Drosophila melanogaster: one gene and its partners. The gene in region 2 interacts genetically with the main gene of each other region. Each region holds a gene or a part of one and is shown on either strand. Other genes may lie near its edges.

Region 1 (10,158 bases), on a different chromosome or scaffold from region 2:
TCCGGCTACATCCGCGGAGTTGTCAAGGTGAGTAACGTGCTCCTAGGATCACCAACTACACCTATCCGTTTAATGTGGATGAGATCACTTGCATTTGGCCATGCCACATTCAAGAGACGTGCTTGAGCACCTGTGCCAGCTTACTAGAAGTTACTTAGCTCACTTGGCTTAACTGCTTTTGAAGTGTAACTAAGCGAATCGTACTTCTTCCATGTTTCAGGACATCATCCACGATCCCGGCCGTGGCGCTCCTCTGGCCGTCGTCCACTTCCGCGACCCCTACCGCTACAAGATCCGCAAGGAGCTGTTCATCGCCCCCGAGGGCATGCACACCGGCCAGTTCGTGTACTGCGGCCGCAAGGCCACCCTTCAGATCGGCAACGTGATGCCCCTCAGCCAGATGCCCGAGGGTACCATCATCTGCAACCTGGAGGAGAAGACCGGTGATCGCGGCCGTTTGGCCCGCACCTCTGGCAACTACGCCACCGTGATTGCCCACAACCAGGACACCAAGAAGACGCGTGTCAAGCTGCCATCCGGCGCCAAGAAGGTCGTGCCCTCGGCCAACCGCGCCATGGTTGGCATCGTCGCCGGCGGCGGTCGTATCGACAAGCCCATCCTGAAGGCCGGTCGTGCCTACCACAAGTACAAGGTGAAGCGCAACAGCTGGCCTAAGGTGCGTGGTGTGGCCATGAACCCCGTGGAGCATCCTCACGGTGGTGGTAACCATCAGCACATTGGTAAGGCCTCCACCGTCAAGCGAGGCACATCCGCCGGTCGCAAGGTCGGTCTCATCGCTGCCCGTCGTACCGGTAGGATCCGTGGTGGCAAGGGCGACAGCAAGGACAAGTAAGCTCTGGCTGCAGCAGGATTCCGGCGTGGCGCAGGTTCCGCCTGAGATCTGGGTAGTGGTCGTGCTCTGCTGTGCGGCGTCGTGGAAGAAATTGCTATTCTACATGGATAATCTGTATGTTCTAGGCATACGCTTGACACGGCAGAATAAAACGTATTTGTAAAACTATACTTCGTTTGCATTTAAAGTTTTTAAGATTTTAGTTATTAGCTTTTGTTTGGATTTATTATGCTGATTTATTAGGTAAATACTTATGTTATCTGCAAATTCTTGTTTTCAAACAAAGAAATACTTGTGTTTTTTGAAATATGTATACATATTTTATATGGGCTATTTGTGGACTTATTTTTAAAATACTAGATTGAACACGTTTCATATGGCAACCAAAAAAGGTTTTGTTTTGTTTTTTACAAGATTGTAAATACTTAATTTTTACAACTCAAAATTATAAATAGTGCCAGTGTTGGGTAATGTCAACTACGGTCACACTAATCTAAAACAATTTGAAGCAAACGGTATATTACACTAAGTTCAAGTTTTGAAGCAATGGGGCTTACACCAAACAAATATATAAATAATAATAACTTTCCGCCGAATATAAGCGTTCGCATCTTTTATTTCGATATATCTTAGACTTAGCTTAAGCCTATCGAATACTTATTCGATATTGCCTCGGAAGATCTATCGCAAGCGTGAGGCCCACCTCTAGTTGGTGTGCGCGGAGTGGAGTGAAATAAATCGAAGTAAATTGCGTCGAGCGCTGCAAAATAATGGATCGCACTTTCTACGAGGGCTGGCTAATTAAGTCGCCGCCCACCAAGCGCATTTGGCGAGCAGTAAGTTTCCGAAAATGGAAAAACGTAGGCTTTCGAAAACCTGAGCGTGTGTGCGTGTGTGCAAGTGCTAAGGAATTTTCCTGGAAACCCCAGCTCAAAACGAAATCAAAATGAAAATTCTGATCCAATCAAATCAGAAATGTCCACTGATTAGTGAAATGTGCAAAGAAAAGAGAGTCGCAATTGGCTAACGGTAAACTTGAAGCCGGAAGAGAAATACCGCAATCTTTGTCCATCGATTGACTCACGAAAATGATAAAAAAAAACGATGGATAATGGAAGTGGCATTTTTTTACAATTACGCTAAGCCTGTATTGGTGCCTGCCTCAGTGTGTGTGGGTTTGTTTGGCGTTGTTGTTTGTGGTATGATTTAATTCATTATTAAGCCGAGGGATTGCAATTCCAGTATTCCAGTTGATTGGAATGCAAACAAGTTGAAAACCGCAGCAGAAATTGCAAAATGTGAATGAATTTACGATGGCTTCCTCTGCGTTTTTCCCTCTCTCTCTCTCTGTCTCTCTCCCCACCACCCTCTCCGTCACCCAGTTTCTTTCTGTTTATGTTTGCTTTTGGCGTGGGAACGTGTTTTTTTCTTTTGCCCTGGTCTAAATTTACGCTTAATTAATTTTTCGTTTAATGTTTACTTTAGGGAGCCGTTCGTGTATTAAATTTCCGCCAACTGTTGCGTTTAATCAAATTTACTTGCCCCGTATTTCGTGTGTGCATGTTTTTTATGCGCATATGTGCTTGTTTTTGCTTTTTTATGTGCACGGACGATAAGCCGGATCAAGCACAAAACAATGTGCAACAACAGCAACATAAACTACCGACGATGACCAAAAAAACAATGACGCACTTGTCTTTCCAGCTCCTTGTTGTTGTTGATTTTGCCTATGCTAGAGATGCGCTGTTGTAGTGTCAGCATAATAATTTTTATTTACAGTCCATCATAATGTATGACTTATTAGATTTTTGGATTAATTATTTTTTAAACATTTAGGGGATGAATAGTTGAAAAGTATGTTTGCTTATATTATTAAATATAAATAGAATGATTTGCTCAGACAAATAAATTTTACTGGATTTTAAACTAGTAAAGCTAAAATATAGAAGTTCTCCCTCAGGAGTTCGTGACACGACACTCTGTAGTGTGCCCATCTCTAGAGCGTTCATTTGAAACCACTTATAATGGATACGACAGTTCCAAGAACACCCAAACCGTTGATCAAAAGGTCTGCAGCACAGAATTTTCAGTTACAGCAAACCCACTTTATGGTTTCACTGTACTCAATTTGTTTGCTTATGTTGAGGCGTGCAATAGCGTCCAAAATGGTAGTATTCAATCACACTATTTTGAAAACTGCTTAAGATTATACAATATAAATTAAATAACTAACCTCTTGACATCAAACTTCGTACAAAATATGGAATATTTTGTTGTAAAGGTTTACAGCAGCTATCTAATTTTAAAAACAACCCTTTCCGGCGCGTTAAAAGTAAACAAATTTAGAAACATTTTAAAAATAGAACCTTTGCCCGCACATTTTCGTTTGCGTTTCTAATATCTTGAGCGCCATTGTATAAACAAACTCTAATGATGCCTCGAGAAAATGAGCTGCGTATTTCCAGCGCCTCGGGGTGCCAATTTCTGGCCTGTGTGCGGCATTATGTTTATTGTTTATAATTCAATTAAGCTTGATATTATACAGTCCGAAAAAAACCATCCATTATCAGCTGGAGTTTTACGTTTTCAGCGGGTTCCCGAACCTCTCAGCTGTTAATTTCTTAACCGCTTAACGGTAACGTGGGCGGGGGTGTTATTTCTGTGTGTGTGTCTGCTGATTACCCAAGAAAATGCCAATGCAAAATATGATTCGCGGAAAAGCAGCGCCGCTGCAGTCTCTGTTGACTCGGGCTTCATCACCCGCTTACTCACCAGCAGTGATAGTGTACTCAGTCGTTGAGCTGATCAGCCGTACCCTACCCTCATATCAACAACCGGAGTCCATCGCTCAGTAAGGGTATCTTAATCCAGAACGGAGACATCGGTACACTCGCGTAGTACGTTTATATATAGCTAAACTACTGCAAGATATAGTATAATTAGAGATAGACTTAAAGAAAGCCTTGGCGTGTCGCAAATTCTAGAAAATTTGCTAATGATTCACTATATTCTAATCATAAATACCGCATTATCAGATCTCTAGGAAAATTACATTTTTGATGCGTAAATGATATTGTAAGCATCAAGATTGTTCATTTGCTCTTCGCCCTGATGAGTAACTACCTGATGAAGTTAGTCATCACTATTCAGGCATCTTAGTACAATTTGTAACAGTGTAATCTTGTTTAATATTCTCAGACTCTTTGCAAAAGAAGCAATATCTACAAATCTCATTTTGGGGGAATTTTTGACTTTGTTGAATTGTTTTGCTACAAAAAAACAAAGACAGTTTATCGTGTGATATTTGCAATTCCACGACCCATTTAACATATGTCGCTATGAAGGAATCTTGTGTGTGTAATGGCATAGGAGAAATCACTATTGCTTTTCCAACTGTACGCCTCGTTGCAACTCTTAACGCCTTGTTTCCAAATTATCTTTGTAGCGCTGGAGGCGTCGCTACTTCACGCTGAAGCAGGGCGAGATACCGGAGCAGTTCTGCCTCGAATACTACACCGACCACAACTGCCGCAAGCTGAAGGGCGTTATCGATTTGGATCAGTGCGAGCAGGTGGACTGTGGCCTGCGGCTGGAGAATCGCAAGCAGAAGTTTCAGTACATGTTCGATATCAAGACGCCCAAGCGCACCTACTACCTGGCTGCTGAGACGGAGGCGGATATGCGCGACTGGGTGAACTGCATCTGCCAGGTGTGTCACCTACACGACACAAAGCAATCGAATGAGTTGCCATTAGGAGCTGTGGGTGCAGGTGAGTGTCCGCAAGCCCATGTCCAAAGAACCCCTTCTTAAGTTTTTCTTTTCTTGCAACACCCAGACGAAAACCGCACCCAACACACGAGCTCCAGTGGCGGTCTAAGCAACTCCACTCAAAATACGACCACCACATCGTTGCACTCGTCGGCCGGAACCACAGCGCCTCAGGCTTCGGTCCCAAATGCTGGAGGATCTGCCCAGCTGCGACGACCGGCGGTCATTGAAGAGCAACCGATGCCCTCGAATGCCGGCAACAATAACTCAGACTCGGTGTATGTCAACACGGAGTACAGCAATCGCGAGACGATGCTCTGCGATGCCAATTTCGATCAGCAGGAACTGCTCTCGGCTGCCCAGCAGCAACCGCCTCCATCGCCGGCCACGGCTCTTTATCTAAACCACAGTGCTTTGATCCAAGCTCAGGCGGCAGCTGCAGCCGCCGAGCAACTGCAGCAGCAGCAGCAACAAGCTGCTCGCTTGGCGGTCAGTGCCAACGGAGTAGTGCGCAAATTGCCGGAGCATCTGGTGCTCACGCAGCAGACCCTGGCGGAGGCAGCTGCCCAGCAACACAGCAGCGTACAGGCTTCACCCGCTTTGAGCACCGCATCCGGACCGTACATACCCATCAGCGAGTGCTTCTCGGGCAGCCCGAGATTCCTGCCCGGCGTTCCACTGCCCGGCGCAGATTTGGCCATACCAAACAACCCCACCACGCCGTTGAACAACTTGGATCCCAAGTTCTACGATACGCCGCGTAGTCATAATAACATAGGTCTAAATCTGACCAACGATCAATCCTACTCACCGAAGATAACCAATTTGAGTCTGGTAAGTTGATAGCGATAACGATGCGCGTCAAGCATTATTTATAATTAATTATCATGTTGGCCTTTCAGCAACAATTGGCCAATAACAATGCTAGTAAACAACGCTCCGACTCCGATTCGGAAAGCGTTTTCACCGATGACGATGAGTGGGCTCATCCTTTGCCACTGCGCGAGAATGTGGGTAAGTACTCAAAAGGCAAATATCAAAGCGAATTCTCGTAGTAAACAAAGATTTCTCACAGATCGCAGTACCCGACCTTCGGATAGTTCCATTGAAAACGAATCATTCGTGCTAACGTACTCGCAGCGATTCTCTAAAATGCCCGAGGAAGGAGGAGCGATCGTGCCACCAGCTGAAAAGAGTTCCAAGCTAGCAGGAGCAGCATCTCTGCCAGAGGCTGGTGACCAGGGAACGCTGGATAAGCTGGCCAAGGTGCTGAAGAACAAAAATAATCTCATATTGGACTTTAAGGAGAATGAAAAGTGAGTTAACACACACTCAATTCAATTTTAAACGGCCTACTAAATCATCCTGCGCATTGACAGAATTCCTCGCGATCTGCCGCAGCTGTCGGATACGGAAAATACTTCGCCGGCCATTGTGGCCCGCCGCAACGCGCACTCCGCTTTCATCGAGGAAAGCTATGACATTCCAAGGTCCCACCAGCAGCCTTACTACAACGTCAACCAGCTGCTGGGCGAGCGACCAGTCACCAGCCCGCACAATTCCAATCCCATTGCAGCATCCACACCGAATCTCATGGCGGCCGATCTGGGTGCAGTGGCCGCAATTTCAGCGGCAGCGAATCCCGGCCTGATGGGTGAGGCACAGGCAGTCGCATCATCGCCCACCAGTGCGCGCACATTGCCTCGACACTGCTACACCAATGCAGCTCCCACAAAGATGGAGGGCAATGTTTTTCGATACGACTTCATGGAGCAGGCGGACTGCCCGCCGGTTAACCGGAAACTTAAGCCAAAGGTGGCGGGTGGATTGCCAGTTGTAGAGGACAAACCGCCGGAGGAGTTTCCTGCAAAGCCCCCGGTGGGCGTAGATCAGTTAACCAATAAACTGGGTGCAGCCCAACTGCAGCAGCCCATTGGACCGCCCAGTGTGGACAGGAAGTGCAAACCGAATGCCTATAAGGTGAGTGACAAACGTTGTGCACACCCATATTCAATTTACTAATGACTTCTTTTTAGTTGGGCAATTCGGCTACCATGTCGCCGGCAACGCGACGTTCCTCCGGTGCCCCTCTCTCAATGGTGCTGCCGCATGAAACGGATGTACACTCCCCGGCGGCAGCCAACGCCTTCTTTCACGAGACCCGCACCCTGCCTCGCCAACAGCATCGGCATCATCCGAACAGTCCCGGCAGCATGTCGGTACAACATCAGCGCACCGCCTCCGCAGCGGCTGCCATGATGAGCTTGACGGCAGCAGCTGCTCCCAAGCAGCAAGCGGCGGCGCAGACTGAGCACAAGCTGCAGTACTTTGATCTGGATGTGACCAACAAACCGCCATTGCTAAATCGATCCAGCATGAGTGTGGGGAATCTGTACTCACAAGGCGGAAATGGAGCTAGTGGAATGCGATTCGCAGGCGTCGAAGCTGGCGGAGCTCGAGCGCCAGTGCCTAGCAGCGTGGTCTATAGATCCGTGGACTTTGTCAAGACGGAGGCATTTAAGAGGATTCGAGAGGAGCGCGAGAGCAGCGGCAACAAGTGAAACTGCTGGTTCAGCTAAATGAAATCATATCTCCAGTACATCTACTTGTCAACGTGCAATAGCAAAGGAAGGACCATGTTGCTGATCCGAGATTTTCGTAGTGCCTATTGGTGGTCAGCTGAGGAGAGCTGACCCCATCCAAAAACAGTGCAAATTTCGAGTGGCTTTTACATTCGTTAACATCGTCAAATTCATTATTCATTAAACCACATATCTAGCTTGTAAGACGGCACCAGCATTTCTGTGTGCTGTTTTGAATCTGTAATCTGTAACCCGTATCTGAATCTATGTCGTATTCGTATTTAAATCGTGCTTCCAACACTTCCATGTTTATTGTTAAGCTTCGGAATCAAAATGTAACCATGACAAACGATCTTAGTGCTAATTTTACAATGCAAACAATTATTTTATATACGCAAGCGAAATATTTATATACACGAATTTTATATGGTAACAAATTATTTACAATTTAATAATGTAACTCGTGTGCGACACAAGCTGTAGCTTGATTTTGTGCTTTAAAAAATATATATACAATAATACCAATTTTGTGTGTTCTCCTAAAAGATCCAGAACAAATATCGAATTCCGATTGCTAGAAAATATCTGAATATTACAATATCACCAGGAAACGATGTTGCCTTCTGTTTATTCTGGAAATCCTATAGCAACCTTTGTTTCGAGTTAAATCAATCCAAGTCAACGCAGAGGTACTTGGCAACGCAGGAGTCTCCACCAAACAGACTGTTATTATTAAACGAATAGTCAGTAAACTAGCACGCTTTCGAGTTCCCTACCTTCATCCTTACATATTTGTATTACAATGTCCCTGGTTTATATCACCCATCACGATGAGAATATTCTCGAGTGCGAGCAGGACTTTGTGAAGGCCCAAGGACCTAAGGAATCAATTTTTGTCTACAAAAATCGTAGGGATTCGTACTAAAAATCGTTACCTCCCACCTAACTTTAAGCAATTTTGCAGCTGTTGTGGAGAGGGCAGCCAAGTATGCCAAGAGACTTCGCGAACGCTTTAACGAGGAGGACAAGAAGCTATCGATTATCCTCCAGAACGATGGAACCCGCGTCCTGACAGAGGCCAAGAAATCAGCCCACCGCACCATGGGCTGTGCTCACACTCCGATTGACCCACCGTGCGCCTATTTGCGCAAGAGCCAGGGCATCAAATGGCGGCGAGAGAACACCCACAAGTGTCCCAAGATGCCGCCAATGCCCCCACTACCACCACCGGGCAGTGGCGGCAAAAAGCCGGCAATGGTACCTAACTTCATCAAACGCAACAAGATATGTGCCGGACAAACGGTTCCCTGTCCCCCGCCACCTCGTTATGTAGACACTCCCGTGGGAGCTCGTCACGATCTACTCAATTCCGGATTGGTACCGCAGTTTATCTGCCGCAAGGATTTCGGCAAGGTGCCTGTTTACCTCAAGAAAACCAAGAGGATGTTGGCCGACATGAATGCGGTGTGTGCCAAGGAACAGGCACGTTTGCTGGAGCTGTGCCGCGGTATCAAGGGTTTCACCAGGGCATCCGTCCAATCAAGTGGTCCGCCGCCAATGCCGGGTATGCGGGTGATGGAGCAGGCCGAGCGAAATGAGATCCTCGAGGGACTGCGACTGAGCCTGACCGAGATGACCAAGCAGTATCAGTCGATGTCGCTCCTTATCGACAGCATCGCCAAGCGGCAGCGCAAAAGCAAGCTGGAGTCCGATCTTCGCCAGGTGGAGCAGGACATTCTGCTAATCGAGACCACTCCCATTATCTATGTTTCCGAGTACTAACAATGACACACACACCTTTTCTGACCATGTGTGTCGGCATCTGGAAGCCGAGTGAGGTGTCTCCATGGATTCACTTGCTTTGCTCTTAGAGGCGGACACACAAAACACTTCGTAATTAAGATTGAGAATAAATTTAACGTTTATGCATTAAACATTTCCGTGGCAAAGCTTCCATGGCAAACGGGACATGTCAGATGTCTCCCCGACTCGTAGAGTTCTTGCAGATTGTCCAGCTCGAATAGGATTTGGCGGTTGCAGAGGCTGCAGTAGCGTCGCTCCAAGCTGAGGGAGATCTGTACGGATACTGTAGTCTTGTCTTAAAATGAATTCTAGTGAATTCTTACCTCCACAAAGGACACACTGCATCGATGAAGTTGCTTCTGGGGATTAGATATCACAGGTATACCTAGCATCTCGTGCAAGTGCTGAATATGGTTGCCCATTTGTTCAACGAATGTCCTTGCTGTGGATCCTAGGGCATGGTTTTCCGTGAAGTCGTCATTGAGTTTATTTATCAGTCTGTGGGCCTCCTCGAACATACATTTTATCGCCTGCTCCTGGAATGGTGATCTCTTACTTAATGACCCAATAAACTGGAGCCTCAGTCTTATGTGTGTGATATTCAGCATCGCAAGGAGCAGCTGCAGTTCATCCCGGGACTTTTGGATGTGAACTGTCAGCTGGAGGTGGCTCGATTGCAGGCGAATCACGTTTTGAAGAACATGAAATTTAATTTGCAGCTGCTGCAGCTGACCTTCAGTGGCGGTATCGGCAAATTCAATGGAATCTAATGGACAAAAGTCCATAAATTTTTGCCAATTCTCCTCGGCAAAAACGTGCAGACGTAGTCCAGCTAATAAATCGGTATAGTGATTCATGGGCTTATTGGATTCCAGATGCCTGACAAGCTGATCAAGTGGATCCTGATTCCCCACCTTGAGCACTTGCATAACCAACTGGTTCTTTTGAGATACAGTTTCATTTAGATATTCCTTGTTGCGGTAGAGTAACAGGGTCATTAAGTTCTTGTGCCTACTGGTGCACAGTCCCATCACCTGGAAATCCTGAAGGACACCCATGGCTATCGATTGCATCTGCAGGCTAAGCTGATTATTCTCGTGGATAATTTGTACGCAAGACAAACAGCTTCCAGCGGTTCCTGCAACGTAGCT
Region 2 (6,042 bases):
ATCTGAATTCGAGGCTCCGAATCTCTGCTGTGCTGTGCAGCTGCATGCAGGTGGTAGCTGGAGTAGCTGCTCGGGAATAACGACCGATATTGGCAGGAAGGCCTCTCTTCCCGCATCACGACGGATCGCACCCTTTTGTTGTGCGTGGCTTTTGAGATGGGGGAACCGAACGGAGCCGAACAATTTGTGTAATTGACAAATTGACGGCAGCGCTTTGTGCGGAAGCGTTCAAAGCCGTAAATTGTCGCTAACAAGAGCGACACTCCAGGGATATCGGCAGGATATCGCCTTTATGCCTCGCATTCGCGCCTATACAAATATAATTGCCTCAGCCGCTGGAAAAGACGCCTGGGGAGACGCCCGCACCTCGCGATCACTAAATTAAGTCATTAACAATTTAACGAAGCCCTGTCGATGCCGCGCTGCCGCTTAACTAATTATGTGAATTTCCTTTTGATTATGTGCCCCGAAATCCGTGCAGCTTTTGCGGCGACGCCCGAAAATGATTTTGCAAAACAAACAGTAACAGCCCACGAAATCCGGTCGCTGCCACGCCCCCACCCTCGCTAGCCGCCACCGAGCGCTCCAATTCCCATGCGGGAGTCGATCGAATCGCCGGCACTCGGGCGTTGCTGTCGCTATCAACAAATTGGCTTCGAATCTTACGAATGATTGACTGACTGACTGAATGACTGACTGACTGGGCCGGGGATCTCTGCTCCGTTTTAAGCTGAATGATATGTTGCACTGCCAGAAATCGTCATAGGATTTATTTATTCAACAGATCCAAAAATATCATCCATCTAATATCACTAAATAATATATTTAATTATATTTTAAAGGGAATGAATTCTGTGTAGAACTAACTATAAAGGTTTGCTTTGATCCTATCTTGTACTATATACATTTTATTATATTACCTTAAATAATATTATTTATTACATTAACTTATTGAACAAAACTTCTTCAACACCTTCTTGTTTTGCTGAGTGCACAGTTTCGGCTTAAAGTCTTAAGCCGCTGAGTTTATCCGCCAACAACGATCGGGGATCGAACTTCGTATTAAACGATTTGTGAGTGGCGCTTGATTTTCGGGGCTCGACTGGGACTTCCACTGGGATATGAAGTTGCAGAGGTTCCAGGGACAGCGACGGACAAATGGACATACGGACAAGCGGACATACGGACATTGCATGCGACCTGCGACTGCTGAAAGCAGATCAGCCCAACACTTAACTTAATTTGGCAGCTACAGTCCGGCGCGCCGTGCCGTGTAATTATCGTCCGCTGCGTATTTGTTTTGGCCAACCCGATTAAGAGGGGCCCTAATTTTGTCGAACTGTCTACAAATTGATCGCGAAGCGCCAAATCGATCACCTTCCCCCATATAATAAAGTCCAATTCACTGTGTGAGAATTGATGCCCCGCCGATAAGTGTGGATATCGAGGATTGGGGAAACAGAATTGTTCAGAGATGAAAGGATTTGGATGGCTTGGAATTTTTGTATTTATCATTTTGCATCTAGGAATTGTTGCATAGCTACTAAAACTGTTAGAAAGTCCCCGTTAACAAAAAACGAACATATGTTTTAAATTATTAATGGTGCTTTTATTTTGTCTTCCTTAGTCTTAATCATTGTCTTCCATTTAGGCTAATTAACTAAACAATAAACAGCATAATACTTAAGCGGTAATTCACTACTGGGCTCCAGGCAATATATACAAAGTAGCTACAACATTTGGCAAGCTCCAACAATAACTGAGAATAGTACTTGGGACTGGGATCGGGATCCGGGAATTCAGCGCAGCAGATCCCCGAGAGCGGATATGTAGGTCTGGGCCATTTGGAGGGTCTCGTGTTTGGACAGCTGGCGATCGTTTCCCAGACAGGGAAGGTACTGGCGGAGACGATCGAAGGCCTGGTTGAGGTTCTGCATCCGACGACGCTCACGTGCATTGGCGGCCAGGCGACGCTTCCTCTTCACGACGGGTGTGATCTGCTTGCCACGCCTCTTCTTTCCAGAGCCTCCGGCAGCGGCATCTTGGTTCTCACCATCGGCCAAGTCAAAGGATCCATCATTGCCATCGAAGTCCTCACCGCCACTGAAGAGCATGAGGTCCTCGTCATCCTCGACGCTGTCATCGAACAAGGCGGAGTTGTCAAAGTCAAAGTTCTGGAACTCCTCCGTGTAGAGATTCACTGAGGCAGATGACTCCGCAGCTGCAGTCGGTGTGGAGGTGGCGGTGGTGCTTGGCTGGTTCTTCTTGGTATAGCTACGCTTCGGTTTCGGACCTGCTGAGGCTGGAATCGTTTTGCAAGTGCCCACGTTGGAGGAGCCCATGACCTCCACTGCCGGAGGAGAGGCCACTGGAATTGCAGGCGCTGTGGAAACAACAGACTGCTCCATAATCATTCCGTATTGTTGGTTCTGGGCCATGTTGTTGCAGCCTCCATTGTACATGGTATTGAGATCCACATACTCGGGACTCTCAGATCGGTGGCTAGCCGGCGAGGAGGAGATCCAGCCATCGGAACTGGCCTGCTCGAAGCTGATGAAGCCATTGGCCGACAAGTAGTTGCTGCTGCTGGCCAGGGTGTTGCCATTGAACTGGTAGTGGGTCACGCCGGGATTGTAGGCTGCCATGGGATTGAAGTACGGCTCGGCGGCGGCTGTCTTGAAGCCCTGCAAGTCCTCGGAGGTCTTGTAGTAGTAGCGATAGATCTCACTGGACGACATGTTGCTGCTGCTGTATGGTGGTGTTATGTTGCTGGATGAAACGATACGAACGCTGCGAGTGCTGGCGGGTTTCTGACTGGTCTCTCGTCCTTTCGGCCCTATTTATACTCACAAATCCACCACGACGGTCAGAAGGGCCTGAAAGGCAGGTAGGGGGGCAGGTAAACGAGTTGCCACAGAAGGCAGCACGTGCCGCCCGAGTGGCACGACCAATGGCAGTTGGTGGTGAGTTGCAGCGGTCTCAGAGAGCCCGGTTATACCTCAGTTCGTTGCGAGCTTAAAATGGCGCTAGAAAACCGACTATCTGGGCATCTAAAGCCGCTAACAAGATGATTATAGGATGGCCGGCACAACCGGAACAGGAATATGGGCGGAAATGTAAACAGAACTTGGACAAACAATCGATTTGAATCCCTAAACGGGATTAAAGTCGACCGCAAAGCGAAGCGAAATTTGCAAAAATCCCTTGGCGATTTGTCAGCACCAAATGGCAGAGCGGGTCTTATGAGTTTATCTAATCTGCATCGGTTGCAAGTGGGTTCGATCTACCTGATCACGGCTAGGGAAATCCTTACAAATCCACCGCCGCCGGGTCATTCGACATGCTTACCCAAAGTCGGGGGCGGAATATCGCAATGAAAAATCTTGTTTATTACAACTTGGCAAATTTTCCAATTGATACGCTTGTTGCCGGTACCATGAAGAAGGTAGATGATAGCGCCGGCCCTTCAAGGACACGCTTGACCGAGTGCCAGGACTGACCTTCACCTTAGCCCTCGTCGTGCCTAATAAGCGTGGCAGGCAGTAACTAAGAGCTGGGTTAACATTTTAGCGCCTTGCAATTAATACGGCCGTGTGTTCGATCGTGAGCAGGGAATTTAGTTGTAGATCCCAGGATGACACAGCAAAACGAAGCGTCCACGGTGGTCCTTAGATCCCTTCGCTACGCCCCTTAATCCTTAATGATTCGCTGGAAATCATAATGCAACGAATTCTACATCAACCACTTGCGGGGGAGTGTTCGGGCATCTTTGAAGTTCCGCGGCCACCCAGTCGCACAACTAGTAGCACGCCCCAAAGGATCTGATCTTTTTGCCGGGCAATAAAAACGCTGTCAATTAGATAAAAATGTCACACAACAAACCGCACCAAGAGCGGCACCACCAATTTATTGGACGCACACAGGCATGTTTGACCTTTTGTCCACCCCTGAGAGACCTCGAATGTCCTGAACGTCCCTCGTGAATGTCCTTCCATGCAATTTACGAGCCACTTGCCGCAACAGACAGTAGTTACACCTGCAATATGTACCTGTGCAGATCGTATCCCTCGGATTGCATCTCCGCTGTAAAGTTTTTCGCTTATCGGCATTAGCCGATGTCAAGGCATCCGCTGCATATCGATTGGGAAATTTACATTTTCATTGCCGCATCGCAATATGCACGTGCTGCCAGTCGAGGGGGCAAAAAGGGTCATTCCAAGTCAAGTCGAGTTCTTTTTTCGCCAATGGTCGGCATCGGGCGCCTTGCGTGCCTGTCAGTTATCGAGTGGCTGATCCCTCACATCGGACCCACATACCTTATGAGTACCAGTACCTCCAATACCTCAGCTCCAGCTCATTGGCATCAATACGCTGGTAACGGGCCACTTCTTTCATGTCAATATGCATAAATGCAACTTGGCCATCGATGGGAATGCAACTGATGTGGAGCAGCTTCCAGAAAGCGCATGACAAAGCCAATTGAATGGGTATGAATCTGCTTGGGTGAAACATGAAACACTCTTGTAGTCATATCCAAATCATATTCTTATATTATCCTAGAAAAACCAACCTGTATATTCTTGAGTGTAATATAATATGGTGAATGTTATAATTGTATATTGGGTTTTTTACTAAACTCTCAAATCATGTATTAGTTACTTAGGCCATTAAACTATTGACGCAGTAACTAAATTAATTTAGTTATTTTCTACATTTTGTTAAGTAACCAAATTGCTGACTAGCCGGCCTAATTCAGTATACTCTTTCCAGGACTCTCTTCGGCATGAGGAACGTGTAGGCGCAAGAGATGCCAACAAGAGGAAAGTAGGCTCACGTCAACGACTCCCATTAGCAAGTCGCTCTGGGCCGTGAAAGTGTTGTCCAGATCCATATTTATATATATCCAGACCGAATCCCAGTCCACCAGCTCCTGCTCGACTTAAACGTCTTCGGCCCAGTTATTTTTTTTAGCTGAAATTGAAAAATTTGTATGTTACTTATTTTATTAGCATTTAACACTCTGTCCCATTTTGCAGACGAGAGCGAAAAGCGAAAGGAGCAGGAGTCTGGACACGGACATGGACATGGACATGCAATCGGCATGGCATGCCATCTCCGCAACTGGGGTAGTTCCCATTCCCCCAGTTCCGTGCACGTGGGTGGCCTGGCCCCAAATCGAATCCTGGCCTCTTGTGTGGCATTTCGGCAATTGTCAAATTGAAAATTCATTAAAGGCAAATTAAATATGCAAATGCAGAAGGACCAAGTCGAGGAGGAGGAAAGAGCTCCCCTTGTTATGTGAGACCGTTGTTTGACTTGGCTCTGCAAATATTGACCACCGATTGGGGCGGTGGAAAAATGGAAAATATCATATGTACATATGCTCCTCGACGGGGATAAAAAGTCAAGTGGAGTCAAACATTGGACGGGATTCAGTTGGAACTGGCTATCATCGCTGGGAGCTGATCAAAATTGCTTAAACAAATATCGCATAAATTGCACATTGTACGAAGTGGCCGGAAAATTGTGACGGCCATGGGTTAATTCCCATGAAAATTAAAACTAGATTATACACACGTCCACAGAGTAGTCGGAGTCGAGTCCTTGCAGCGCCCACTGTGTCATTGTTTGGGCACGCCCTCACCTCCTGTTGTGCCGGCGCTTTGTCATAGATTGCCTACTGATGGTTATCATCCGGCTGAGGGATGGCACATCAGCTCCGTGCTCCTTATGAGCGTATCTGCCCAGATTGGATCGGACCATGTCAGAGCGATTTTTGTCGCCGACTTTGATGCGGCAATTCGAGCGCGGTGGTGTTGTTTTGCCAACATTACTGCCGATCAGTATCTGAGGTGATCTTCGCAACTGACTGGCGCCAGCAGTGATCCTTTTATCCTTCATCGAAACAAGACAAATTCGCTACACATATTTTATAGTAGATAGTTGATATGCAGGTCGATTAACCATGTCCATGTAGGTGCCATGTACTGCATGCTATCTTGAAAATTTAACTTATATCGAAAACAAATTTCTTAGAACCAA
Region 3 (7,323 bases), on a different chromosome or scaffold from region 2:
AGACCAAGAAATCATTTAACGTGCAATAGAAATTTCGAGGTATGTACGAAAATGTAATGTTAAAAGGCCTGCCTTAGCTATAAAATATTTTCTCATTTTTAACGTATGCTTAAATGAACATACACCGCACATATGTACATATACTCTTAGCTTTTCCACTGTGTATTGCCTAAATTATAGTCCTCCCTTATGTACCCTTAAGCCTCGAGCGAAATATGTCCAGATTTGATCAGGATCGATACCGGATAAGATAGAAACAGCACCTAGCTCAAAAGAGAGGGGAGCAGTAGGGGAAGAGAGTAAGCGAGAAAGGAGATGAGAAAGGAAAAATGAGAAGCCAGGTGAGGGTGAGGATAATTTATTATTGCTCGGATACCCCCGAAAGCGCGCCAAAGGTCCCCGATACCCTAAAATCCAAAGACCATGCGTTTGGTCGAAGTGTCCCCGACACACAGAGAAAACTATACAACACGTACGCACTCTTCGACTGTTTAAAAATGGATTAATATAAGATGGTGTCCTTAGTTAATATAATAAATATATTACAAAAATATAAGTGTTTAAAAAATTTGAATAATGCTTGTAATATTAGATATCACTATAAAAGAAGAAAAGACGTGCCAATCCGGCTACAAAAAAAGATCCATTACAAGAACACGACGACGGAATGCGTATTTATTTCTTGCATGATTCACCACATTTATTTCAAGATGGTTTTTTTCTGTGTAGGATCTCAGGTAGAAGACACACAGACACTCACTCACATTTATGTAGAGCACAAGGCACGTGCGCGATCTGAAAACAATTTACCACTCCGATCAGCGTGAATTGTGAGTTTCACTTTAAAGTCGAATGCAGTTTTTAAATAGAAACTCGCTATTTCCCCATGTATTGTTTAAAAGAGGTATTAAAACAGCCCGCACCCGCTCATTTTTGCTGCAAGGACGGGACACAGTTTGCCGCTAAATAAATAGCAGAAATGATTCGGGAGTAACTCTTTTCCTTAATTTTTTGGCTAATTTTATTTAGTTTATAGTTAGAAAGAGTTACATATCTGTACACCGGTCACTTGTAACTCGTTCACGATCCGATGGGGGGAATATGTAATAATTAGAAGGCATCGTCACAAACATTTCCTTAAACAATGTCCCAAAAATGGTGTTCACCCGTAGAGCGAGTCCTTTTGTGTAGTTCTCGGCTGGGGTCCTTTCACTTTTCCCCCAGTGCTTGACTCCAAAGTTATTTCAAGGACTTCCACGGAAAGACTTCCGTTCCATCAAGTTTTCAACACTCATAACTCGAAAGACGAAATAATAATATGAAAAAACAAGAAGCGGTAAAACAATTTATGAACGAACAACTGTGCACAGATGCTAAATGATGAAGCATCCTAAAGGATCCACTTGAGTCAACGACGAGTACACACAGAATATGGGCCCAGGACATATTCACCCGGCGCCTTTCTCCGGTTACAAAATGGAAAAAGAAGAGGGAACTTAAATTTTGGAAAATCAAAGCGACTTGCATGCGTTGGCAGATTGATTTACGATTTTGGAGGGTCAAGCCAAATAGAACGACTTCAGGTTTCAGTAAATCATGGAGGATCCAGTATGTTTCCACGCTAGCGTCAATTCCGTTTACTCATCTGTTTCATTACCATTTGGCGTTTCTCTCGTCGAAAGATATTTTCCCATTGAAATCAATGCGTTTTTAAAATGCAAATAAACCAGAAACCAGAAACCATTCATAAATTGTATTTGCCTAGATTGGAACATTTCGATCCGCCAAAGATAACAGCCAAAAAAATATATAAAAAAAAGAGTGACAGGACTACAACGCAGGTTCTTAATTTTACGAACGTGGGAGTAAATTCGAAAAGGTATGCCGCGTCTTGGGGCAAAACTTTTTTGAAACCGTTTACATGTAATATTTTTGGAATCGCTACTTTTATGTATGGTTAATTTAATTATGAACTATTTTCTTGCAGTGCACGAAAGGCGTGGCTGGGGCAAGGAACAGTTCCTTGAGATGAGTGCTGCGATGCGTCGTCAAAGTGGGACGCAACCGAGTCAAATCCTCTAGGACAACAAAGGACGCCGAGCAGTACTTCCCAGTACTCAAATACTCCTCAGTACGCACAAGCGTTGACTCCTTTTTCTTTGAGAGCTCGTCTGCATAATGAGGAATGAGGACGTGGCATCCTGGATCAAAAACCGGTAGTCGGTCGTCGCAAGTTTCTTCTCCCCGCCGGTTATCCTGCGCTCAAGTCCTTTTCCTTGAACCTTTTAAGTGAACTCAAGTTTATAAATTGTGCAGCAAGTACAACACACACACATATGTATACTCCTCTATTTACTCAGGTTTGTTGGAAACTACCTGAGAGGAAGGATCAAAAAAGTTTATTGTAGCACTCGAAAACTTGTTTGCACAGATAGACCTAAGCTCCAAAAAAAAGAATAGATTATAGAAATAAAGCACTGGTAAAATTATTTTCCCACCGGACTAATTGCCAGAAATTTTTTGCCAGACGTAGAAAAAACAAGAATGTAGAGAAGGATGGGTGATTTCTCACCCCTTAAAGGATTTAAATTGGCTCTCTGGCATCTTGTCAATTTCCAACATAAATTGTAGCCCTGTGAATTACCTAAGACATTACTTTCGCAGTATATACTTGCTGTTTATTAGCTTAACAATAGGAAAATGTTTTTGCCAATGCAAGTCCTGGTAAATATATGTATATATTATCCAGTACGAGTTTTTGAAAAGTTAACAATAGGTGATCCCGAGACATTTTTCGAATGAAGTAGAAACCAGTCCTTGGTTTTAGCTATAAGCTAAAAATAAAGATTCGATGCATTTCTGCGTTTTACATGACGAATATTGGAGGTCTAAGGTGATCTATTAGGATATTTTGCAAATTCCTAGGTGGTAGGGCATTCCTTGAAAACCAGGGCTGAAAAAGCTCCCCAGGGAATATACTTTTTATTATATGCATACGTATATGGTTATTATAATGTCCATATATTAATAGGGGCGGTATATAAGCATAATGTGTTTGCTGCCGATAAATAATGAGAGAGAGCGTGGCGAAATCCACCCTTGAACCAGGTGGACTTTTTGGCTCGAGTTGATCAGATGTTAGTTTTCCCAAAAGCCGTACTGTATATAATATATATATATGATAAAGGTGTATGTGTGAGCGATCGAGAAGGGACACCCAGTCTAGGGGATGAAAAGTCAGGCCCTTTACATAAGGGATACGCAGGACCTCAAATGCCTTCTGTTTTGTATGTGTGTGCTCTGTGTTGTGTATGTCAGTCAACGAAGTCACTTCCGTTGGGTTTGCGTTTTAGTTTGAGTTCGGAGTTTAGGGGCACGCGACACAGAGCGCCAGCAGCTGTCCTGATGCAAGGACACGGAAACCATATTACATCAGTCACCAGTTAACATTCACTCAAGAAGGACTAACTTGCTAAAAGTACACCCGCAATCGCCACCAGTTTTTCTCCCGCCCTCAAAAAGCCACGAATCAAAAAACTTAATTATGGCCGCCTTAAGCTTCAGCCCATCACCTCCTCCAAAAGAAAACCCCAAGGAAAACCCCAATCCAGGAATAAAAACCACGTTGAAACCTTTTGGAAAGATTACCGTTCACAATGTTTTAAGTGAGAGTGGCGCCAACGCCTTGCAACAGCATATAGCCAATCAGAACACCATTATTCGAAAGATCCGGGACTTTGGCATGCTGGGCGCTGTTCAAAGTGCCGCAGCCAGCACAACTAACACCACACCCATATCCAGTCAACGGAAGAGGCCCCTGGGAGAATCCCAAAAGCAGAACCGGCACAACCAGCAGAATCAACAGCTTAGTAAAACATCAGTGCCTGCTAAAAAATGCAAGACCAACAAGAAGTTGGCGGTTGAAAGGCCCCCAAAAGCAGGAACTATAAGCCACCCTCATAAAAGCCAAAGCGATCAGAGTTTTGGGACTCCTGGAAGAAAGGGTTTGCCTTTGCCACAAGCCGTTGCCCGTAGAAACGCTAGGGAAAGAAATCGCGTGAAGCAGGTTAACAATGGATTTGCTTTACTCCGGGAGAAGATCCCAGAAGAAGTATCTGAGGCTTTTGAGGCCCAGGGGGCGGGTAGAGGAGCAAGCAAGAAGCTATCCAAAGTGGAGACCCTCCGCATGGCCGTAGAGTACATAAGAAGTTTGGAAAAACTGCTGGGATTTGATTTTCCACCTCTCAACAGTCAGGGGAATAGTTCTGGTTCCGGCGATGATAGCTTTATGTTTATTAAGGACGAATTCGATTGTCTGGATGAACATTTCGACGACTCGCTGAGCAACTACGAAATGGATGAGCAACAGACTGTCCAACAAACTTTATCCGAGGATATGCTAAACCCTCCGCAAGCCAGTGATCTCCTGCCTAGTTTGACTACATTAAATGGGTTGCAATACATCAGAATACCAGGAACCAACACCTACCAACTGCTGACGACTGACTTATTGGGCGATTTGAGTCACGAGCAAAAACTTGAAGAAACAGCTGCTTCGGGCCAGTTATCGCGATCGCCCGTGCCACAAAAGGTGGTAAGAAGTCCCTGCTCTTCTCCAGTTTCACCTGTCGCCTCGACTGAATTGCTGTTACAGACACAGACGTGTGCCACACCGCTGCAACAGCAAGTAATCAAACAGGAATACGTCAGTACCAACATTAGCAGCAGCAGCAACGCACAGACTTCCCCGCAGCAGCAGCAGCAAGTTCAGAACCTGGGATCGTCGCCTATTTTACCCGCGTTCTACGACCAGGAGCCCGTGAGCTTCTACGACAACGTAGTCCTTCCCGGATTCAAGAAGGAATTCAGCGATATTTTGCAGCAAGATCAGCCCAACAATACAACCGCTGGCTGCCTTTCGGACGAGAGCATGATCGATGCCATTGACTGGTGGGAGGCACATGCACCTAAATCTAATGGTGCATGCACCAATCTGTCCGTTTAGCCGAATTTTTTCACATCACGCATCTCGGAAAAGCCGATTGCATTTTTTGGCATACTTTTTAAATGATTTTAAATCCTCACAGCATAAGTCTGTGGCAGGCCATTCTATCTAAAGTTTTTTTTAATCAAGCCATGACTGAGTCATTGTGTAAATATCAATTTAAGCCGAGAAAGGAGGATAACTTCGGCCAGCCGAAGCTTATATACCTTTGCTGTTAAAACCATGTATTTAATATGAAAGTTCGCACAATTTCGATGAAGTTTATCACAAATTTACGATTTCATCAAGATTTGTATATTCTCCAAATTCTATAAAATATATGTACATTTTTGATTCTTGCTATGGTACTTGTACGTATGATATTGTTGATCGATCCTGCCCGAGTCACCTTTTATATCACCAGACATGCCGATCATGAATATTTATTGATGTGGGGTCGGAAATGCCTCACTGCTACCTTCAGACATATTATAATATCCTCTGAAAGAGTGTGACAAAATGAATGTATGAACACTACATATTTAAAGTCATCTAGTGATATAAACCAAATGGAAATAACCTTGTAAGACCCAACCACAAAATAGTTATCCTGATAAACGGCTTAATGTTGAGCCGGACTAACAGAGTGTCTAGTATATAACAAAAATTAATGTATTTGTGTAACCATATTTTTTTTTTATAGATTTAATTGTAGGAACGTTAAAATGACAAGCAGATAATATATGCTTTTGAATAAATGCAAATAAATATGAACATTTCCAAAAACTTAATTTGTTTCTTGTGGTTTTATTTCTCAACGAAAATTAGGTATATTAAATGACAATTTATAATTTGTACCACATTTTAGAAAAAAAGGTGTTTTATATTTTAGAGAGTGTCTTATGGCACAGTATATCTCCGGTGCTTTATTGACTCGATATTCAAAATGGGGTTCCTTCTGTGACAGAATGACAGAATTCGGATTTTTTTCTAGCGGTTCTTTTTTAAACATGTGCCTTGATTCATAATGACACAAGTAATTAAAAACGCACCAAAATAAATATTAGGGAAATTGAGAGAAAGCGGTTTTAGGGTGAACTATTATTTAGGACCTAACCGGCAACCGCAAATCAAACGAATTGCTTTTAAAAATAGAGTCTAGTCTGTCTGTCCTCATAGAAGTCAAGAAGTGAAAAGCCAAAACAGCTTGAAATTCCAATAGCGGCTACAAACTTGAAGTTGTTTTAAAACCTTGTCATGCTCACCACACAGACCCTCATTAACATTTGGAAAATATTTTCAATGATATTTAAGGGAATGGTAATATATTTTTTTATACAAAGTTGCCAAGCCTTCACGCACGTCTTTTATTTTGCACGATATTTACTCACCCTCACTTTTACTTGGCGCTATACTCTCCTGCCAATTGTGCTCAGGACTTCATTGTCCTGTGCTTACGTGTTCTCATGTCTCTCTACCCGTCCCTTTTTTTGGGACATCTGCCCAAATAAAACAAAACGGAAGAAAAACCAAAAAAAAAAAAAAATAAGAAAGGGCCGGTCCAATGGATATGGATGATGCAAAACTACATAAGACAGGCATACTGTAAGGAAAATCAATTGAAATCGTTTTCCATTAAGAATAGATGGCCTGTGCCAAATGATATTCGCATCTGCAGGATCCGAAAACCAAAGAAATCTAAGTAGTACACTGAGGAAACAACACGATCTATTTTGAGGTCGAAATTACAAGGCGAGGCATTTTTTCCTCCATTACTATTTTTTTTTTTTCGCTGTGTATATGTATGTGTTGGCGCGCTCCTGAGCGCCTGAGATCGCCTGCAACCCCCTTTTTCAACAGTTTTCAGTTTTTCCATCCAGGTGCAAAGGTGTTTTCCTATCATTCTTTTTTTGGTCGTGTGGTGGGTGCGCCGTTCACCGTTAGCAGTGAAAATTGTTCACGCACCGTTATAATTATTAAATATTGGTAATGCGACACGCCCCTCAACCGTACACCTCCGAGTTTGGGTCGAATTTCGCATTTTTACTGTTTGAACTGGGAAATCATTGCCGTTATGTGCGTCTTTTTGTTGTTTGTGTTTTTGGTGAATGTTAAAGGCTTAGCACCGATAAGGAATATGAGCCCTATCGTATCCTTCGATCGGCAGATTTGCTTTCGTAGCTCTGGGTGCTGCAGTCGCTTTAAGTTGTGCCCCCATTATGCCATTTAGACCACGCCTCTATGAATGCATTATTACTGAATGCCGTCTGTTTTTAAGTTCACTTTAGCGTGTGCGCATGCTCTTGCCGCTGACTTGATTGGATTCACCCCTACTTCTC
Region 4 (7,471 bases), on a different chromosome or scaffold from region 2:
TTATCGTTAACATGTGCCAGGGCTGCAGAGTCCGTGGCTCATCGATAACGTTAACCAGGGTTGGGCCACACTTTTGGCAACGGTAATTTAGGGCAGTTGGTAAACAGAAAACCGTTACTTCAAACAAAATAACCTTTTAAAGCGCATTACTTGGATATTTCCACGATTAGTATATATTATTGTTCTACCTAACTTTTCGCTAGTTTATATTAGTTCTTATAAGAACAAACGATAAACACTAAAAATAGTAAAAAATGCGTTTCTATGGCTTTAGCTATGGCTATTATTAATTTTCTTAAAATATAAAGTCATGCCAAATTACACATTTTCGCTGAGGAAGTCAGCGAAGCCAGTGGCCATTCGACTAGAATCTTATCGCGTAGCTTTCTGGGCGATATGACAGTGATAAGACGCAATCAGTTTTCGGGGGCGATTGGCGCGTCTGGGCACCACTGGCAACAATCATAAGTGGGGCAGGCCACGAAGCGATCTTTTAGCTTGATCAAATATTAAAGTTCCCAAACAAACCTGATGAAATTCCCATTGTTTAAACAAATGTTACGCTGTTGGTAAGCGACTGACGCAAAAAAAAAATAGTTAAAGCCAATGAAAAGTAGTCAAACAAAGCACAAATAGCGAGTATATATAATTAAGCAGTAATGGAGTTGACAGGTAGATGGTATATATATCTATATCTATACAATCAAGTACACCCATTAGTTTCGAATACACATACTACTTCCCAATAATTACACTGTTGGCATAAGTGAAACTCATTAAACATTCAGGGTGTGAACTTAACGCATATGTTTCCAGGCGCACGCTACTGCAATCAATAAATCTACTGATAAAAGGCGCCTTTTGTGCCGATCTAGTGACTAAGAAGCCTGCTCCCCATTTATAAAGGGGAATACTTTAATCGGTTCTATAGATAACTCATTTATTTCGAAGCCGAACACTATTTTGCATCAGCTGAAAAGTAAATCTTAAGTCTTAAAGAACCCTAATTGATAAATGTATCTTGAAATATATAAATATGACGCACAAAATGAGTTGAAAGATACAAACATTGAAAGCTGGTAGAAGTGTGCTATCTAGAAAATGCTGATAAGTTTAGACACAGATGTTGTGAAAACAACAAATATCGAGTTAGATACAAAAGTATCTAGTATATATTGTAGTACCGAGTACACGTAGGTACACGAGGGTTAAGGCCACGTTAGCAGCCAGGCACTATCTGCACTCACTTGCAACCGGTTCCGGTTTGCCCGCATCCTGTTCTCCACCCACTTGCGATGCAAATCAGTCGAAACTATGCGATCCAATCGCCCCCGAAATGGGACACTCTATGTGTACCTGTGATCTTTGGGTTCCGATGCGAGAAAGCGATTGCAAAAGTTGTCTAGCGAGATTCGGTCGAAACGGCTGCCAACTGAATCGTTGGACTTTTCTATGCTTTTTTTTTATCAGCCCCCCCTAATGACCTTGCAAATGAGAAAGTTCCTGCTGACTGGTCACCCTAATGCGAATACGAAAATATTTCAAAATAAACCGGCCGGCATTAAGATGTTGATAGAAAACCCACTAGTCATCTCTTTCGTAACTAAAATCAAAATTTGCATAATTGTTAACAAAAGCGTGCTTAGCGGCCATTGCGTATCTATATTTAAATGTCTTGTAAACATACATTTTCAGATACAAATTGGCACAATCGAATAGAATAGAACTTGAAACGATTATTCTGCGAGTCATTTGATGTTTTACTTCCGCGTCAAAAGAGCAGCAATTTGAGGAATTCGCATGTGTGCGTGTGTGTGTGAGAGAGCGCCATGAAATTGGCATTAAATTTGTGCTGTGGATTGCCCTTTTGACCTTTTCCTTACTTTTCTCTTTCGCACATCGGTGTTCGTCATTCTGTCGTCGTTACTTTTCACTTAAATTATGTAAATACGCGAGCGTTTGTTTATTTCGGATCGATTGCTGCCGATCGCCGAGCGGAACGCACTAATGTCGATCTAATCTAATGATGGCCGCGCCCGCCGAATGATAAACTCTGATCAGGAAGCCAACGCGCACGGAATGGCGTCTTGGAATCAACTAAAAACATTTATTTACCACCTGCTCATTTATATGCTGCAGCCCTATCAGCTGTTCGCTGCGGCGCCCACTATCAGCGCATACGGCCACACTGCGGGGGCGGCAGGGATGCCAAAAATTGATGTGGATAACATAGAAATATTTAAAATTGTGAAATTATTCGATTTTGATAAGTATACTTCTTAACGGAATTCTGATAACAGGTGCAGAAATCCAGTGCATAGTACTATAATTGACATATATTAGAGGATTCGTTGTGCCTTAATCCGCTATTTAAATCAATAAGGATTTATCATAGATTCATTCGTAGATTCTTATCATTATTTTGTACCGACAAATAAGATAATTGGATTCAATAGATATTCATTCAAGCTAAGTGTAGATTAGATTATATAGGTATATCATATTTCCCATTAAGATACTTGCCCATTCCAAAATTGGGTTTTCTGGATTAGACATTGAGATAAGAAACCAGTGTTGAAAACCAACACTGAAAACTGCTTATGAATTTTCAAAAACGCTCGGATAAACACATTGCTAGATAAAACTCAGATCGTTAGACAAACCGGTTCCAAAAATCATTCATTAAGTAAGAGAAAATCGAAATTTTTAGCAAATATGCGGTACCGACATTTTCCAGAACTGGACCTATCGTCGCACAGCTGATCGCCCGCCAATCAGCTGGGCGATAGTTGCCGTATCGATAGCCGACCCATCGATAACGATATGTGTATTTTCCTGCTCTCTCTGCACCAACACAAAACACGCAACTAAATTTCGGTTAAAAACCCCTACTAAAAACAATGCAATCGAAACGGAACCATATAAAGTGATTAAATGGCCAACGCGGCGGAGGCGAAATGCGAGCGCAGTGCATTTTCCGGATGAAATCGCGTTTTCGGGGAAACTTACACAAACATTTTTTTCGTAAGCGCTCTCATGTTGTCTCTTTCGCACAGCAGAATTACTAGTTGCTGTGTGTGTGCGTGCGTGCGTTTGTGTGTGCCGTATGCCGTGTGCCAGTGTGTGCGTGCGTGTGAGTGTGAGTGTGAGTGACTTTGACTGCAGTTCGCGTACGTTTTTTATTAATACACCACATAACAACAATCACAACAACAACAAACAGTAATGGAAACTAAACATATTTAATGCGAGGAGACCAGAAATCGTCTAAAACGGCAAGGCTTTATCACCATCGCCACCACCACCAACAGCACAGCAACAACAACAAATTACTACAGCATATATGCTAGTGTGCGTAAACGTATTTGTGTTAAATAATGTTTAAACTGGCATTTCTGATTTCGCACACAAAACAATATTAAGTTGTAGTCACCAGCAGAGAGGAGCAATTGAAGCAAACGAAAAAGAGGTAAGTGCAAAAAGCAGACAATTGTTATAAACAAAATGTGTCAAAAGTTCGTCATGTCGTCGCGCGCTCTCTCTCTCTTTTTTGCTCGTTCTCCCTCTCTCTCTCCGCTCTGTCCTTCTCTCTCCCGCCACGCCGAAAAGAAATTAATTTTGATATTTTTTCCCTGCTTTTTTGTTGCACTCTCTCGCTCTCGCAAACTTTTAATTTTAATTTGCTATGCGCAGCGAATTCGCGCGCAAAGGCAACAAAAAAAGAGGCAATGCAAAGGCAGCAGCAACAACAATACAGGCAAAGTAATAAACGTCAAAATGCCAGACGGACAATTCCTCTCTCATGCGCTCTTTCCGTCGCTGTGTGCGTGCGTGTGTGTGTGTGTGTTTGGGTTTGCTAGCTTTTTGTTTTTATCAATTATTTAGGTAGGTGTTTGCCTTAAAAAGAATAACTGAAACGCAGAAAAATACCAATACTTGTATACTCCAAGTAAAAAAGGGTGAAAGGACACTATCGGCTCAACAAGGAGAATGCAAATGCTATAAGTAGGAGGGGGAGAGAGAGTCACACGCACACACACCTCAAGCAATTCTGATAAGAACAATTGTTATTTGTTTGAAAGCCGACATTCCAATAGTCCACGTCCATTCGCCCAAACGTTGAAAATAATCGACAAACTTAAATACTATTGTGTTTGTTCGCGAACCCAGAGATGCTTTGCCAACTGATGAAATAAATATGGCCAATGCCGTCAGAATAAAGCGAAAATACCATTGTGGTTGGAATTCTCTTAATGTTAACATTGATTACTCCATTTTCTACTTTCTAAACAATGTATTGTATTCAATATTTATATTGATAATATCGAAATAGATAATTGCAGTATTTAATTGTTTTTGTACTTCGAATTAGAAATATGACTTTAATCACGTACGCAACAACCCATGCTTTCTTCCTAAGAAATGACAAAATAATAGTCTCCACGAAATAGGAGAACTCCATACTCAAAATATAAGCTTCAGAAGTTTATAGCCTAAAGCATTTTCCTAAACAAACAGCTTTATAGAAGAGTCTTCAATGAAAAAATAATTTACCTCTCGTGTTATTTATTGAACTCCTCTTTTAAAAGATAGGAGGTCAAGCATTTTAAATGTTTTGGTTAAATGATCTATATAATTGTACAATGTAATGTTTGCTATAACATCTCTAGTCTCACTTTCTTTTGCTTTTGTTATTAATATGAAATGTCGAAGTCATTAAAATTGATTCATGGAGTCAAATTACCAAACAATAGGCATTTACCAACGAGGATGCGAGAAGAAGAAATCGCCGAGGAGAGCATTTTTTCTTTTGTTATTTGCACGGTTTCGAATTCAAATTCCAATCAGCATTCTTCTTTTTCCTCTCTCTCAGGAAACTCATTCACGACTCAGTTTTCGTTACAATTTGATTAAATATTTAACTATAATTTGCATAATCAATTAACAACAAAGTTAAAGAGGATCTTTGGCACTGTTATGTCTACATTGCGTTAGCATTAATGTTAACTGCTGCTCGCACTAACAGTCGACAAAATGTTTGAGATAGCGGTTCGATGGCGTTTGACGGCTCTCTCAGTACGAGTTCGAGTTGCATGCGGTTGAAGGCGAGCGAATCGTCGAATAATAACGGTAAAGATGTAGTACTTTTTGGATTTCGCAGCCGGTCGAACACGAAAATCGGCGCCGTCGTCGCGCCGTGTAAAAAATGTGAGCGAAAATAGCAAAATAAATTTGTAAAAAATATAGAAAATACAAATCGCGCCGCCCAACCGAATATCTGCAATCGAATTTCAATGAAAGTGCTTGCCATCTGAAATATATTCATTTCAAAGAAGTGTGTGTGTGTGCAATCCATGTTTTTTCTGTGTGCAAAGTTCAAAGGCAAAAGCAAAAAGAAAAGGCAATAGCAAGTAGCTAAGGCAAAGGCAAAAGCAAAATCAAATCTAAATCTAAATCAATGTAATCTAAATCAAATGTTATTCGAAAACGTAAGTTCAAAGAAGTGAAGAGTGTAAATTCTTAAACGAAACGAAGCACATGTGCCACCGTCCCCCTTTCCAACCCATCCCTCCCATCGCTTTGTCTCGCTCGCTAGCTCGGAGGCAAAATTTCCAATGCATATCAAATGGAAATCAACAGATCAAATACAAATACAAAAACAACTACAGCAACTTTGTTTTTGCAAACATCGAGAACAACAACAAACAGCTCGAAAACGGAACAGAAGAGACTTCAAGCAGAAGAGAGCGCAAAAAAAGTGAAATGCGCATTTTTTATTGTCAATTTTTCAAACGGCACACTTGGACCTGGACCGTGTGATTTTCTTGCTCTCTCACTCGCTCTCGATCGCACTCACTCACTCTGTCGCTCTCTTTGCTTTGCTAACGGAACTGCCGTCTTCTTCTTCACCTTCTTATTCGTTGTTGTTGTTAGGCAAAAGCAACGCCAAAATGGAAAGGAAAATTTTTGTTGTTGTGGTGCGTTGCCCTTTGCTTGTGCGCTCTTCGAATAAAATCAACAACAACAACAACTAATGAATGAATGAATGTGGTAGCCGAAGTAGCAACTTCACAAACAGCAACGGAGCGGAGCAGATACATTGCGATAATTTTCTCGCTCATCTGGCGTCTTTATGACATTATATACGCTACATTTTGATTTTATATTTAACACCTGCTGTTCTTCCATCAACATTTGTATGTGCATATGAGATAAGTGCATCAGAATGTGTACGTGAGTGTGTGTGTGCTGCAATTGCGATCAACAGCTGTTGCAGGGAGAGCAAAAGAGAGGGAAAGAGAAGAGTGAATATCTGTGCGGATGTATGTGTGTGTCCTTGCTTTTGGTTTTCTTTTGTGGCATTTTGTTGTTGCAGCTGGAAGAATGTTTCCCGAAAAGGGGGTTTTCGGAAGATTCCAATCTGCCATCGAAACCAAATCTAAAATTAACTTTCTAGGTTATATAAATCAATTAACAAAACAACATGGCGAACCGATTGACACATTTTAAAAGTTATAGTTATAGTTCTCAATATAGTTTAAAGAATCACTTTCATATTTACAGCCAACGTTATCATTAAAATTCGCCTCAAATACAAGCAATAATACATAATATGAATAAAACCCGAGAGAAAAAAGTTCAACATCTAGTAAAGAAAGCAAACAAAGTTTAAAAACATTTGCATTAACGAAATCGTAGCCATTAGCTTTAACAAAGTCGCGTAAAAATTTTGAGCAGAACTTAGCAAGCCTATAAAGTACGCCTTCCAATAGTTATTATATATACACGCATTATATACATATGCATATACACAGCCATAGCACTTACATACATACATATATACATATACAACATCGGCCGAAGGGAATTATAGAATGAGAAACCCACACGGGAAGTGAATAAACGATATGGAATCGTGGAAAAAGTGCGTTATATGCTAACGGTGCAATCAAATCTTAATGTAGCCAAGCGATACTAACATATATAGCACATAATATATAGATATATATTTCTTACATCCATCAAGTAAATCAACAATTTTTACAATCCGCAAACTTAAGCTGCTTCAAAATCAACCAACGCAATTACTTTAAGAGATTTACTTTATCGGTAAATGGACAAGCATAAAGAAAACATACGAATATTAGAGAAAAACCAAAACAAAAACTAAAAATCAAGTGCAAATTGCAACAAGTTATTCTAAATATTTAAATGAGAATTATACGAAATTTCCAAAATTTAACTTAAATTATCCTATTATTCATAGGTCTAAGTAATGAATAATAGATTTTATATATGCGCCCCAAGTGCTTAATTAACAACAACATCAACAACTACAGCAACAACACCACACAACCAAATCAAGATTAAAAATAAAAACTATGCAAAACAACAACAACCTCAACAAACAGCGAATCGAGCAATATTATCAATAATAACTCTGTACATTGTTAAACGTCAAAAATGCAAA

What was found.
Region 1: of ato (region 2) and dos, changing one suppresses a phenotype caused by changing the other (phenotypic suppression), as found in Drosophila melanogaster (one study listed by BioGRID).
Region 3: of ato (region 2) and ase, changing one suppresses a phenotype caused by changing the other (phenotypic suppression), as found in Drosophila melanogaster (one study listed by BioGRID).
Region 4: of ato (region 2) and lilli, changing one enhances a phenotype caused by changing the other (phenotypic enhancement), as found in Drosophila melanogaster (one study listed by BioGRID).

What each region holds. Positions count from the first base shown.
Region 1 is NT_037436.4:2,587,864-2,598,021, forward strand, and holds dos (daughter of sevenless), read left to right. Parts: upstream 1-1,550; 5' UTR 1,551-1,623; coding exon 1,624-1,689; intron 1,690-2,338; exon of another isoform or gene 2,339-3,750; intron 3,751-4,298; coding exon 4,299-4,623; intron 4,624-4,689; coding exon 4,690-5,456; intron 5,457-5,524; coding exon 5,525-5,636; intron 5,637-5,697; coding exon 5,698-5,938; intron 5,939-6,001; coding exon 6,002-6,602; intron 6,603-6,658; coding exon 6,659-7,183; 3' UTR 7,184-7,727; downstream 7,728-10,158. Other genes in the region: RpL8 (ribosomal protein L8), read left to right, coding at 1-27, 221-853; CG16984 (uncharacterized protein), read left to right, coding at 8,007-8,112, 8,169-8,986; CG12182 (uncharacterized protein), read right to left, coding at 9,127-9,279, 9,331-10,158. UniProt on the Drosophila melanogaster protein: Essential component for signaling from various receptor tyrosine kinases such as Sevenless, TORSO and DER. Required for photoreceptor cell and wing development.
Region 2 is NT_033777.3:8,274,822-8,280,863, reverse strand, and holds ato (atonal), read right to left. Parts: upstream 2,813-6,042; 5' UTR 2,739-2,812; coding exon 1,800-2,738; 3' UTR 1,590-1,799; downstream 1-1,589. UniProt on the Drosophila melanogaster protein: Developmental protein involved in neurogenesis. Required for the formation of chordotonal organs and photoreceptors. Seems to bind to E boxes. Specifically required for the photoreceptor R8 selection.
Region 3 is NC_004354.4:457,412-464,734, forward strand, and holds ase (asense), read left to right. Parts: upstream 1-3,335; 5' UTR 3,336-3,544; coding exon 3,545-5,005; 3' UTR 5,006-5,765; downstream 5,766-7,323. UniProt on the Drosophila melanogaster protein: Involved in the determination of the neuronal precursors of optic lobes in the central nervous system.
Region 4 is NT_033779.5:2,883,110-2,890,580, forward strand, and holds the start of lilli (lilliputian), read left to right. Parts: upstream 1-2,819; 5' UTR 2,820-3,469; intron 3,470-5,174; exon of another isoform or gene 5,175-5,489; intron 5,490-6,564; 5' UTR 6,565-7,471. Other genes in the region: NTPase, read right to left, coding at 1,884-1,913. UniProt on the Drosophila melanogaster protein: Has a role in transcriptional regulation. Acts in parallel with the Ras/MAPK and the PI3K/PKB pathways in the control of cell identity and cellular growth.